Linked DNA regions of Oryctolagus cuniculus. Each later gene encodes a partner of the first gene's protein in a complex. Links are inferred from orthologs where the notes say so. Each region holds a gene or a part of one and is shown in the gene's direction. Other genes may lie near its edges.

Region 1 (3,645 bases):
ACTCTCTCCCCCTTCCTCCAGACTGTGGCAGAGGAAGAGCAAAAAGGTTATTTACAATATCTCCTAGGCTTTTCCCCTTTGCTTTGTTTGGCTTTCATTTTGTGTGGTTTCTTTGTGTTACCAAATGTTGAGCCATGAAACTTGATAGCTTTATAATCCCGCTGTGTTTGTTTAGTTACCAGGTAGAAAAGTGTTGTCATCAGCCATCTCTCCCAGCATCACTCCTCATGAGGACCCTTCCCAGCAGTTCCTGCAGGAGAGCCTGGAAAGAGTGTACAGTCTTCAGCACCTGGACCCTCAGGGTGCCCAGGAGCTGCTAGAGTTCACCATCAGGTATGGCAACCGTCACTTTTCTCTTTCTGAGTTTGCATTGCCGTCCTGCTCTGTTTGAATGGTTTTGAATGCTGGTGTTGGTTGTTAGGCTTGATTTTCTGACTTTTGGCCTGTTTTCCCACATGGTTTTAGGAACTATTGCCATTTGGGTCTTAGTGTGGTTTCAATATATTTTTTTAAAAAAAACTCTTTGATCAGTACAAAAGAAACTTTTAAAATTTTATTTCTTGTCTATGAGTTAGGATCGATGACAGAAATGCAATGTAACAGTGGCTTATTAGGAGGAAAGTTTAATTCTCTTTCATAGACAGGAAAAATGCTGAGATGACCATTGTAAATGTAGGCTTGTTCTTGTGTCTCCATCTTCTGCACTACTTGGCTTCTGCCTAAATTTCCAAGGTCTAATCTCTATTTTCCTGCCTGTGGGACAAAGGAAAGAACAAGAAAAGGGATCATTTCCATTCCCACCCCTTGTTAGGTACACTCCAAACATTGCACACTCTAATTTTATTTGCATCCCATAGGTTAGAACTTAAGTGAGATGTAGTCTTTATTTTGGGTAACTGATGCCTGGTTAATATTTGATGACTCTTACTCAGGACGAAGGGGAGAAAAAAATACTGAAGAATAATCAACAGGTTCTGCCTGACTTTATTAGAATGATCTGAATGCTATGAAAAGAATTGAAACCCATTTGCCTTTAGTAAAAGCAGTACTGTTTGTTTTTACAACAATAGAAAAATATGTTACTATTTGTTGCTTGGTTGAGAAGTCTCCTATCAGCCGCATTCACTGACTGGATAACTTTATTCCATACTGAGAAACAAGCTATATGCTGGAAGCAGATCGCCAGATAGGGTGTTGCCCTTAGAGAGCCCATGGACGCAAGATGGACATAGACAGTGTGGCGGTGCAGAGTAGTGCTTTCTACTTTACTCATGCGTCTCTGTCCATTGCTGCATCTTAATGTGTTGTGAAGCAGTTCTGCTGCACCATCCTTTACATTACTGACCCCATTATGTTAGGTCATGTCAGTTACTCATTCTTTCACTTTGCAACATTAACCTTGTATTTATTCTAATAGACCAGATGCCAAGGATAGAGGGAAATACAAAATGGCCTTTGTTCTCAAGGTACTCAGTGTGTGTTACAGGACCTAGTGAGAAATCATTGATGGACTAAATGCTATAGTGGAGAGAAGTTTAGTGCTGTGCAGAAACATGTGACTGTGATTCGTCAACGTGGTAGTGGTCAGGGATGCCTCGCAGAGAAGAAGACCCAGTACGAAATGATGACTGAGCTTGTGAGTTTGGTAGTGCAGGTAATGGGGGGAAATTCTGAAGAGCCAGGAGATGAGGGAGAAAGGTCTCCTTGCAAAGCTGCAGTGGTGCAGTTTAGGATTGAGTGAATGGGGCTTTCAAAGTAGATTGATGTGGGTTCAAGTGTCAGCTCAACTACTTAATAGTTGTGTGTCCTTAGGCAAGTTAATTGCTCAGGGTTCATTTGTAGGGAAAAAAAAAAGGCTTTTCCTAATTTCAGCAGAGAAAAATGTGTGACAGTATGTTATATGACTCACATAATAATTGGGAAGGCTAAAGATACAGTCCAGGTTGAATTTCCAGAGCTTATTAGACCACCAAAAGAGCTGGTATTCCTTCTATAATGAAGAAGCTACCTTTGAGTCAGGATGCTAGTGATCTAGCTGTTGGCTTCACAACCTTGTCTTGTACTCTGTCTCCCACTTGAATTCATTCCTTATGCACAACTTGGGAGATTGTGTTTGACTGGTTGTGTTTGATGGTTCGTATGTGGAAATTAGCTCAAGGGAGTCTGGGAACTGTAGTTTTTCTATTTGTTTTTAAAGATTTATTTATTTATTTATTGAAAGAGTTATAGAGAATGGAGGAGAGACAGATTTTTCATCCATAGGTTCACTCCCCAAATAGCTGCAACTGCTTGACCCAGCCACACTGAAGCCAGGAGCCAGTACCTTTATCCGGTCTCCCATGTGGGTACAGAGTCCCAAGCACTTGGGTCATCTTCTGCAGCTTTCCCAGGTACATTAACAGGCAGCTGGATTAAAAGTGGAGCAACTGGGATGCAAATCGGTGTCCATATGGGATGCTGGCATCATAGGTGTTGGCTTAACCTGCTGTACCACAACTCCTGCCTCCAAAGGAAATGCAGTTTTTAACTTCACAGGCAATGCAGTCCAGGAAGTTACATTAAGTGAAGATTGGAATATGTGTGAGGAAGCCAGATTCACATAGCCCAAATACCAAATTTCTGTGTGTTTTAGATCACTCATTAGGAGACTTGGTAACTAGTTGGACATTGGTGGGAGTGAGAAATTGGGAGTAGTAAATGAATAGTCTGGTAATCCACTAACCCTATAAAATGTCACAGCCTGTTCTAGGCTCCTGTGGCAGTGCCATGGGGCAGGCTGAGCTGGGCTGAGAATGCCTGCCCCTGTGTATATGATTGTGGGTGGCACCAAGGGCACAAGTAGCCTCCTGCACCGCTTCCAGGGGGTGTTCCTTGCTGTGCTCTGGGAAGGCTGCACAGAGGCCTGTAGGGGCTCTGCCACTCTGAGGTTCCTTCAGCTACTCTGGCAGCAGGGCCTCCAGTGGCTCTGAGCCCCTAGTAGGGCAAGTTCACAAGGTCCCAGCGAGCAAGCTTTTTCAGTCTGACAAGAGAATACTGCTATGGACTTAATATCATAAACTGTTGGAGGCAATACTGCCAGTAATGATGCAGAACTCAAAAGAGTGAAAGCTTGTTGCATAATGATTGGAATGACACAAATCCTTATCAAGTTGGAACCTGGTAAAGAAAGCCAAGTAGTGTGAAGAAGCTGCATTGGCTACACAGGCTAAGGCTCAGTGATATTCTAAGTGATGAAGTGTTCGTGTGATACCATCTCTGTGATCAGTAACAATAAAGATTTCAAACACATGAAGTGATTTTAGCACCATAATTTGTTCTCTTGCTCAGTCATATTTTTGATATTTATTGAGTGTTTGCAGTGTGACAGAAGCAGTGCTTTAAATATGGTCTGCTGCCTGCTTTTGTGAGTAAGATGTGATTGAAAGACAGCCACACTCATTCATTCAGGTATTGTCAGTGGCTGTTTCCATGCTATGATAGGGCATTGAATACTTGCCACAGAGACCATATGGCTGGTAAAGCCCATAATATAGATTCTCTGACCTTTACAGAAAAAGTGTCCTGCCTCTTCATAAGCTGTGGACAGTCCTTGGCTCTGTGAGCCAAGATTCTGTTCCTTGCTGCATCACTTGTGAAGTGATACCT
Region 2 (3,745 bases), on another chromosome or scaffold:
TCTCCAAGGTTGTCATAAATATCGGGAAGTTTTGAAACTCAAGATTTTAAAAAAAAATGCCACAACATGTCTTCTGTGTTAATAGGAACAATTTCTTTAAATGATCAGTAGGCACATAAAATTTCAAGATTAAAGAATAAAATCTGGAAAGGACAGGCTAACGGGAGGCGTCCTACAAATTAGCTATCCCTACAAAGGCCGCTTAATTAAGTCTCTTAATTGTATCTAAGGCAGTCTTCATTTTTTTCAGCGAGTTCGAGGAAGCTGTTTTTCTCGGAGCAGATTCATGACTTCAGGTAAGGCAGGGGCTTGACCGAGACTGCTTCTCACACACACACACGGGTTTTGGAGTTGGAGGGGCTGCTTGTAAGGGAGGGTTCTGGGAACCCCCGTCACTGTGTTATCTGGGCAAGTTCATGTCAGGTTTTTCACTTTAAAATGAGGGCAATGGATGATTTGCTAAAGTCCCTTTCAACTCTGAAACTGATATCCTATGACCCTGAGTAAACAGCTTGGAAAAAGTCTTTTTCTCTGGGAAGGAGCAGTTACGTTTGCTCAGGATAAAAAGGGTAGCAAAGCACTTATCCATAAGCTCCAGTCTCTCCCTAGGCCGTTCCCGGGTTCGGCGGCTTTCTGGGTGCCCCTTCCGACGGCAAGGCTCCGGGTCTGCCGAGCGCCGCCCTCAGCCTTCGGCCGTCGCCCCCGCAGCGCCCGAGGATCCGGGCGAGGCGAGGCCCTCGGGCCCACTCCCCAGCGGGAGCGGTGTGACTCGCCGCGATTAGTCCCCGGTCATAAACAACCTCTCACTTCCCCTCCCCCGCCCCGGGCCCGCCCGCGCTGGGCCGGCCCTCCCAGGCCCGGGAACCTCCTCCCGCCACCGCGGGTCCCGAGCCTTCCTCGCGAGGGCGGCCGCGGGCCTGCCCCCTGCCCTTAACCGAGTGTGTGTTCACTTTACTCAGCCCTCCTCGGTCGTCCACGTTACCAGCGACCTCGGAGGGCGAGCTGAGGACAATCTCCATTTGCCTTCCTCCGACCCCTGTCACCTCCAACAGCCAAGGAGAGGCCAGTGGCCCTGACGCGCAGGCTCACAGTGGCGGCCGCCCTGCGCGCGCCGACGCAGCCCCCGCCCCCCACCTCGCGGTCCTTCCGAAGCCAGTCCCCGCCCCTTCCCAGAGCCCGCCTCCGCGACGGCCCGCCTGCTCGTCCCTCGCGCTCGCTCTCGCGCGCACCCGACGCCCCGCCTCCGCGCATGCTCGATAACAACCCTCAGAGCCGGCCTACAAGCAGCCCCCGCCCCTGACCTGTTTGAATATGCTAATAAGAGCCTCGGGATTAGCCAATGGAGCTGCGGGGCGGTGCGTCACGTGGCCCGGGGACGTGTCAGGGGGCGGAGCCCCCGCAGCCCCTACCCGAGTTAAAACCGGAGTGTGAGAGAGAAAAGCGCTTCAGTAGCGAGAGGGGCTGAGAAAGTGGTGACACCGCCGGGGTGCGGAGGGAGTCCCTGAAACTTCTCCCAACAGCCCCAGGGCCAATCTCCCCTCAGCCCACTCCCCTCTTCGCCAGCTCCCAGGTCCCCACTCCCTGCACCGGGGGTGGGGTGGGGGAGCCAGGCCCGTCTCCCGCTGGGACACACACAGGGGCCGGGAGCGGGGACGGGACCCCCGAGGCGGGGGGGACGGACCGACAGACAGACGGCCGGGCGCCCGCCCCAGCGGGCAGGCAGGCAGGAGGAGGCGGAGGCGGGGGTACGACGGGGAGGACTGGGTCTGGGGAGTTTCCTCTCAACTATCGGGGGAGAAACTCCCCGCAGCCGGAGGAAAGACCCAGACGGTGTTTTCCTCCCGGGGGCCGCGCTCCCCCGCCCCGCGTAGCGGCGGCGACTGCCGCCGCCACCGGCGCCTCCACCTCTACCATCTCCTCTTTCTCCACCACCTCGGGCCCCGGTGTCCCCGGCCAGCACTATGCCCATCTTACTGTTCCTGATAGACACGTCTGCCTCTATGAACCAGCGCAGCCATCTGGGCACCACCTACCTGGACACGGCCAAAGGCGCGGTAGAGACCTTCATGAAGGTACCGACTGACCGAGCCCGGGGCGGCGACCCCGGCCCGGCGGCCCGCGGGCGGCAGGGTGGGGGAGGGCGGCTGGGGGCGGCGGGGCGGGGGTGTCGGGGACCTGACTGCGGGAGCTGCCGGGCTCCGGGACCCCCTCCCCCACCGCGCGGGCGGGCGGGCGGGCGGGCGCTGCGAGCCGGGCTCGGCCCGGGCCCGGGCTCCGGCCCCGGGGCTGGTGTGTAGGGAGCGATCGGTGTGTGTGGGGCGGCGTGGAGGGGTGGCCGCTGCGTGTGCGGATACTGTGGGGGGCGGCGGGGGACGCTGGGCGCCCCTTCTTCGCCTCGTAACCTCGCCTCTCTGCTTCCCTCTCGCCCGCCCCGTTCCTCCTCCCGGCCCGCAGCTCCGTGCCCGGGACCCTGCCAGCAGAGGAGACAGGTATATGCTGGTCACTTTCGAAGAGCCGCCCTATGCTATCAAGGTAACAGCCCTCGCCCTCCCCCTTCCCTTCCTTCCCTTCCCTGTTCCTTCCTCGCTCGCCCTCCCCGCCCCCCCATTCACCCTTCATTATGCTCCCCTCCCCCACCCGCTGCGCTCCCGGGGCGGAGGGCCCTTCCCCTGCGGGCTCCCACCCCCCTCCCCCGCTCGGGAGCGTCCCGGCGCGGCGCGGACTCGCCGGGCCACCGCCGTCCCCTCCCCGGCCCGGCCCGGCCCCGCGGCGGCAGCGGCGGCGGCGGCGGCGCTGCGATCAACATGGCCGACATTTCCCCTCCGCGGCGTGAGCGGCAGCAATGAACTGTGGGGGATATTTATTCAAGTTAGCCCGAGTGACAGCCGGGCCCGGCCGCGCCGAGCCCCGGTTTGCATTAAAGGGGAATCAGGCGCGCCGAAGGGGGCTGCGAGGCTGGGGCTGCTCGGATTCGCCCTGGGAGGGCTGCTGGAGGTTAACTTCCCAAGTGCCGCTCCCGGCCGCCTGCCCCTAGGACGTTTGCATCCCCACATTTTGAGTGTTAGATTAGGTAGTAGATTTCCCAGTGTGAAGTTAGAAAGTGTGCAGGCTGCTGGCTACCAAAAGCTGTAGAGCAGGCCGGTTGCTTGCCGGCTACCTTTGGCAGAGAGTTTCCTCAGCAGCGATAACAGTATTAACACGTTAACCCAACCATGTCAACCCAAAGTGAAGCAGCTACATGGTGCACGTCAGATTGTAACGGCTGGCCGTGTGCATTTAGCGTTACAGGAAGAAAAAAAAATTCTCACGTTTTTCTTTTCAGGCCGGATGGAAAGAAAACCATGCAACGTTTATGAATGAACTGAAAAACCTTCAGGCTGAAGGACTTACGACTCTTGGCCAATCCCTAAGGACAGCTTTTGATTTATTAAATTTAAATAGATTAGTAACTGGCATAGACAACTATGGGCAGGTAGGTTGAATATTAAAAGTGGAAAAATAGTTGATTTTTCTTGTGGGGAAAAAGAAAACAGCCCAGTCCCAAACTATCTAAGGTGAAGTGCAAGTGTGGAACATTTCAGAGTAAAATACAGTATGCACATAGTACAAAGGTGAAGCTCCGACTTACTGTGCATGGTTTTATATCCCTTAGTTTCTTTTCCCTTAAAAGGCATTTGTATTCAGAAGTAGAATCTGAAGTCTTTGCTGTAGAGTTTAATGTGAATGTGGTTTTCATTCCTTGAAA
Region 3 (3,745 bases), on another chromosome or scaffold:
AAGAAACACTTTTCCTTTCCCACCTATCTCCCGACTTCAGGATGCAAAGATCATCTCCACACCACATCATCTCCACAATTCTCCTTCCCGGAGTTTGGGGTGGAGATTTATACCAGGGGAGGGGACGGGAGGCGGGTGGCGGAATGTGAGCGGGCAATGGGACATAAACGACTTGCTGAGTCCAGCAACCCCGCACCACGTCGCCAGCCCAAACGTCCAGCACCAGGACCTCAACGCACGCTTCTCAGCCCAGGCCCAGGACTAGCTATGACTCTAGCGATCTAACTTCCTATCTATAGACATTTCTTCAAGACGAGCGCAGCACTGAAGTACACGTCACACAGTTTAAAACACAGTTCTACACACCGACACACCTCAAAATCACCTCGTAGTTTCCCAAACTCCAAGCAGGAGACCCCCACCTCCAACCTTCCGCCCATAGTAGAGGAAGAAACCAGGAGAAAAGAGTTGGGGAGCAGTCGACGCCTTTCAATTCCTGTCCCTCGCAAACTGCCCCACCCCACACCCCGTGTCCCGGTCACTCACTCGGAAGCCCCCTGCTTCCTCCCTCCTCTCAATCCGGCCGCTTAGGAGACCCATCCCCAGCGTCCGCTCACTTTCTCCCCAGACCCCTCCCCCCCACACCAAATTTTCTTAAGTGAAGAGAAAGAAGTAAAGAAACAGACTTGAGGTAGTCCGGCTTCAAATCCACTCGACTCACCTCAGAATCCTTGCTGAGTTCTCTCCGCCCGGCACAGCCCCCTCCCCAACGTCCCAGTACGAAGGGCTGAGGTAGGGAGGAGGGAAAGCGGGAGGGGGAGGGGTGTCTTCCGCGTGGGGCGCCCGTCGGGAGGGGACTGGGGAGGGGTTGAGGCCGGCGCAGGAAGAGGAGAAGGGGGAGGGGAGGCCCCTATCTCCCAGTCTCCCCCTCAAAACCTCCCTTGTCTCAATCACATCAGACTGACTGTCTTTGTCTGGCTGACAACCGCCATATTGATATCAACAGCCCCGCTCCCACCTGCTGCAGCCAGGCATCCCTGGGAGTTGTAGTTCTTGCCTCCCCTGAGTAAAAGCACCGAGTTCGGCGTCTGGAGGCCCCAGGGAACTACAGCTCCCGGCAAGTCTCGCGCCCATCCGCCTTCCCACAGGGAGGCGGGGAAAGCGGGGACGAGGCCGTCGGGACTACATATCCCAGAATACCATGGGTCCCAGGCCCATACAGGGGACATGATATCATGCTGGGGTGGAGAGGGAGGATGAATTGGCGGCGGGGATGAATTTGAGCCGACGGAAGGAGGCGTTCGGCTAGTAAAGGGAGGAAAAGGAAAGACGACCACAGTTCCCATGATGCCCAGAAGGAAGACTACATTTCCCATGATGGTCCGGGAAGGGGGCGTGAGGAAGAAAGACTGCAAGTCCCGCGATGCTCTCGGCGGGCCAGAGAAGGAGCTTGAACCGGAAGACACATGCTGGAGTTGAGGAGTCCTGAGACAGATACTGAAAAACCTAAAGTCCATTATGAAACTGGTGAGTCTTCGCTCCTAGGTCGGAGGGCAAAAGTGATGCCGTGCCATTTTGGATATGGGCAAGGAACAGTCACGGTTCTCCGTGGAAAGGGGGGTGGGTGGAGGAGAGCTGCTTTTGTTGTGGAGAAGGTTTGAATTGCCTCTCCTGACCGCTGGCCCCCCTAACCCCCAACATAAAGCTGCCAGGAGGTTTTATTCACTTTGGGAGGCAAGAGGTTGACCGTAATATTCACCTGTGAGCTAAGATTGGGCCCTATGAGCTAGGTTTGGGCTTGCTTCTCAGCTTCCCAATGTTAGGATGGATTAACAACCTCTTTCCATTCAGTTGGCTCTTGATTAGCCCGTCTCCCTACCGTCGTTGGAAGGCTGATCAGATTCGAACAGAGTAGAAAATGTTGGGCAGAACGTAATCACTCATTACGTTTCCTGTTACCAACTACTAACAGCCCTTCGAATCCAAAGAAGAACGAGGTCAGAGCATGATGTAGGAAGATTTGAGTCAAACACTGCCTAGGATCTGGATGGCAGAGAGGAAGTGTCAAGGCATTCCACTCTGAGATTGTAGGGACTGCAAGACCAAAGCTTGATGCAGCTGCCATTCTACCTGGAGAAATCTTTGCATTGCAAAGCTTCAATGCTGGCTCACAGGAAAGCTTCTCAGACCTTTGTTTTGAGCCATTTTATTGTCATTGTGTGCACAGATCCAAAAAGTCAGCTTATTCCAGCTGTTTCAGATTAGTAATAGTGTAATTAGGAGAGAAGAAAAACAGGTGTGAAATGCTGTTTCTCAACACTTTAAAAATCTGTGTTCCTGCAGCCAAATGATTGTCCAGTTTTTCTTTCTGTAATTGTTATATAAAAGCAAACTTTCTTTTTCCCATTTCTGTAATTATTTGAATAGGCTTTCCTGAGCCACACAGCCCACACACTCTCATCTGATAACCCACCAGCTGTTTTCTGTGAGGAAAGTATTAAAAGTAGCTTCAGCTCCCAAACTGTCTCCCTTTCAGGGGTGGGGAACCTTTTTTCTGCCAAGGGCCATTTGGATGTTTAGAACATCATTCTTGGGCCACACAAAAGTATCAACTTGAAAATGAGCCTGCTATAGATACATTGAATTTTAAGTCCCGCCTGCGGATGATTTGGCAGGGCCAGACCAAATGACTTGCGCCGGTTGGGCCTGACCTTCCCCACCCCTGAAGCATGCCTGAAAGGGTCACAATGCAGGTCAGTAAACTTTGAGCGTATCAGTTTGCCTCGTGGTTAGTGTGCTAGGCATTTAGGGGTACAGAATTGAAAATCACAGCCCTTGCCCTAAAAAGGCATGTGGCCTAAAGAAGATAGAAAAGTAAGCCAAAATTATCTGTAATTCACTGTGTTCACGCTAAAATAAAGGATGTTCTGTGTTTTGGGAACTAAGTTGACTGGTGATTGGGGGTGGGAGGTAAGGACAATTTTCAGAAAGGTGACTTTTTTTGAGGTATCAATTTTTAAAAAGATGTATATTTGAAAGATGAGGAGTAACCACCTGGCTCCTGGCTTCGGATTGGCGCAGTGTGCCGGCCTCTTGGGGTGAACCAACGGAAAAAGGAAGACCTTTCTCTCTGTCTCTCTTTCTCTTACTGTCTAACTCTGCCTGTCAAAAAAAAAAAAAAAAAAAAAAAAAAGGTGGGACAACAGAGAAATCGATCTTCCATCAACCAGTTCACTGTGCAGGTTGGTACAGCAGCCAGATCCAGGCTAGGCCAAAGCCAGGAGACATAAACTCTATGCTGGTTTCCTACATAGGTATCAGGGGCCCAAGTGCTTGGCCATCTTCCTATGCCTTCCCAGCCATATTAGCAAGAAACTGGATCAGAAGCAGGAATCAAGTTGGCACTCTAGTGTGGGATGCAGGCATTACAAGTGGCAGCTTAACCTGCTGTGCAACACTACCCGTCCCGGAAAGGTGGCACTTGAACTGATGAGAAGGAAAAGTAGGCCAAAGCATTCCATGAAAAGAGTTTTGTCTATAGGGCAAAAGAGCTTGTCACCTTAACAGTTGGAATGCAGACCCTGTGTCCTCAGTAAAGGATAGAGTGTATTTGATAGGCTCTGTTTGAGAAGGCAGAGAAGTACCAAAAAGTTTTCTCCATAACAGTTCATTTTTGAAGGTGCCAGAGAACCAGGATTCACTTAACATGTAACTTGATTTGTCCATTAAATCCTCCTTCATAATT

Evidence for each region.
Region 2: INTS4 (region 1) and INTS6 share a complex: the UniProt entries of both Homo sapiens proteins name them as parts of the integrator complex. The link is inferred for Oryctolagus cuniculus from reciprocal best matches to the Homo sapiens genes INTS4 and INTS6.
Region 3: the proteins of INTS4 (region 1) and INTS9 are in contact, whole or in part, in a cryo-EM structure (PDB 8RC4), measured with the Homo sapiens proteins. The link is inferred for Oryctolagus cuniculus from reciprocal best matches to the Homo sapiens genes INTS4 and INTS9. Residues at the interface, in NP_291025.3 of Homo sapiens: Leu53, Gln54, Leu57, Gln58, Arg61, Lys62, Pro86, Ser87, Leu90, Lys91, Ser94, Gln125, Gln129, Asp132, His164, Gln207, Asp208, Pro209, Arg210, Arg212, Asp244, Tyr245, Glu246, Gln247, Trp296, Phe837, Gly840, Leu841, Val842, Val843; in NP_060720.2 of Homo sapiens: Lys2, Tyr4, Lys18, Ser21, Thr22, Leu43, Val44, Gln45, Glu87, Glu89, Leu90, Asp92, Asp97, Thr122, Glu145, Arg146, Val147, Pro148, Lys159, Glu174, Ser176, Thr177, Ser192, Gln195, Phe206, Gly207, Ile379, His380, Ser384, Asn385.

What each region holds. Positions count from the first base shown.
Region 1 is NC_091432.1:69,001,937-69,005,581, reverse strand, and holds part of INTS4 (integrator complex subunit 4), read left to right. Parts: intron 1-175; coding exon 176-333; intron 334-538; exon of another isoform or gene 539-753; intron 754-3,645. UniProt on the Homo sapiens protein: Component of the integrator complex, a multiprotein complex that terminates RNA polymerase II (Pol II) transcription in the promoter-proximal region of genes.
Region 2 is NC_091440.1:70,841,555-70,845,299, reverse strand, and holds the start of INTS6 (integrator complex subunit 6), read left to right. Parts: upstream 1-1,414; 5' UTR 1,415-1,961; coding exon 1,962-2,072; intron 2,073-2,217; exon of another isoform or gene 2,218-2,307; intron 2,308-2,454; coding exon 2,455-2,532; intron 2,533-3,322; coding exon 3,323-3,472; intron 3,473-3,745. UniProt on the Homo sapiens protein: Component of the integrator complex, a multiprotein complex that terminates RNA polymerase II (Pol II) transcription in the promoter-proximal region of genes.
Region 3 is NC_091433.1:45,204,959-45,208,703, forward strand, and holds the start of INTS9 (integrator complex subunit 9), read left to right. Parts: upstream 1-1,352; 5' UTR 1,353-1,518; coding exon 1,519-1,527; intron 1,528-3,745. UniProt on the Homo sapiens protein: Component of the integrator complex, a multiprotein complex that terminates RNA polymerase II (Pol II) transcription in the promoter-proximal region of genes.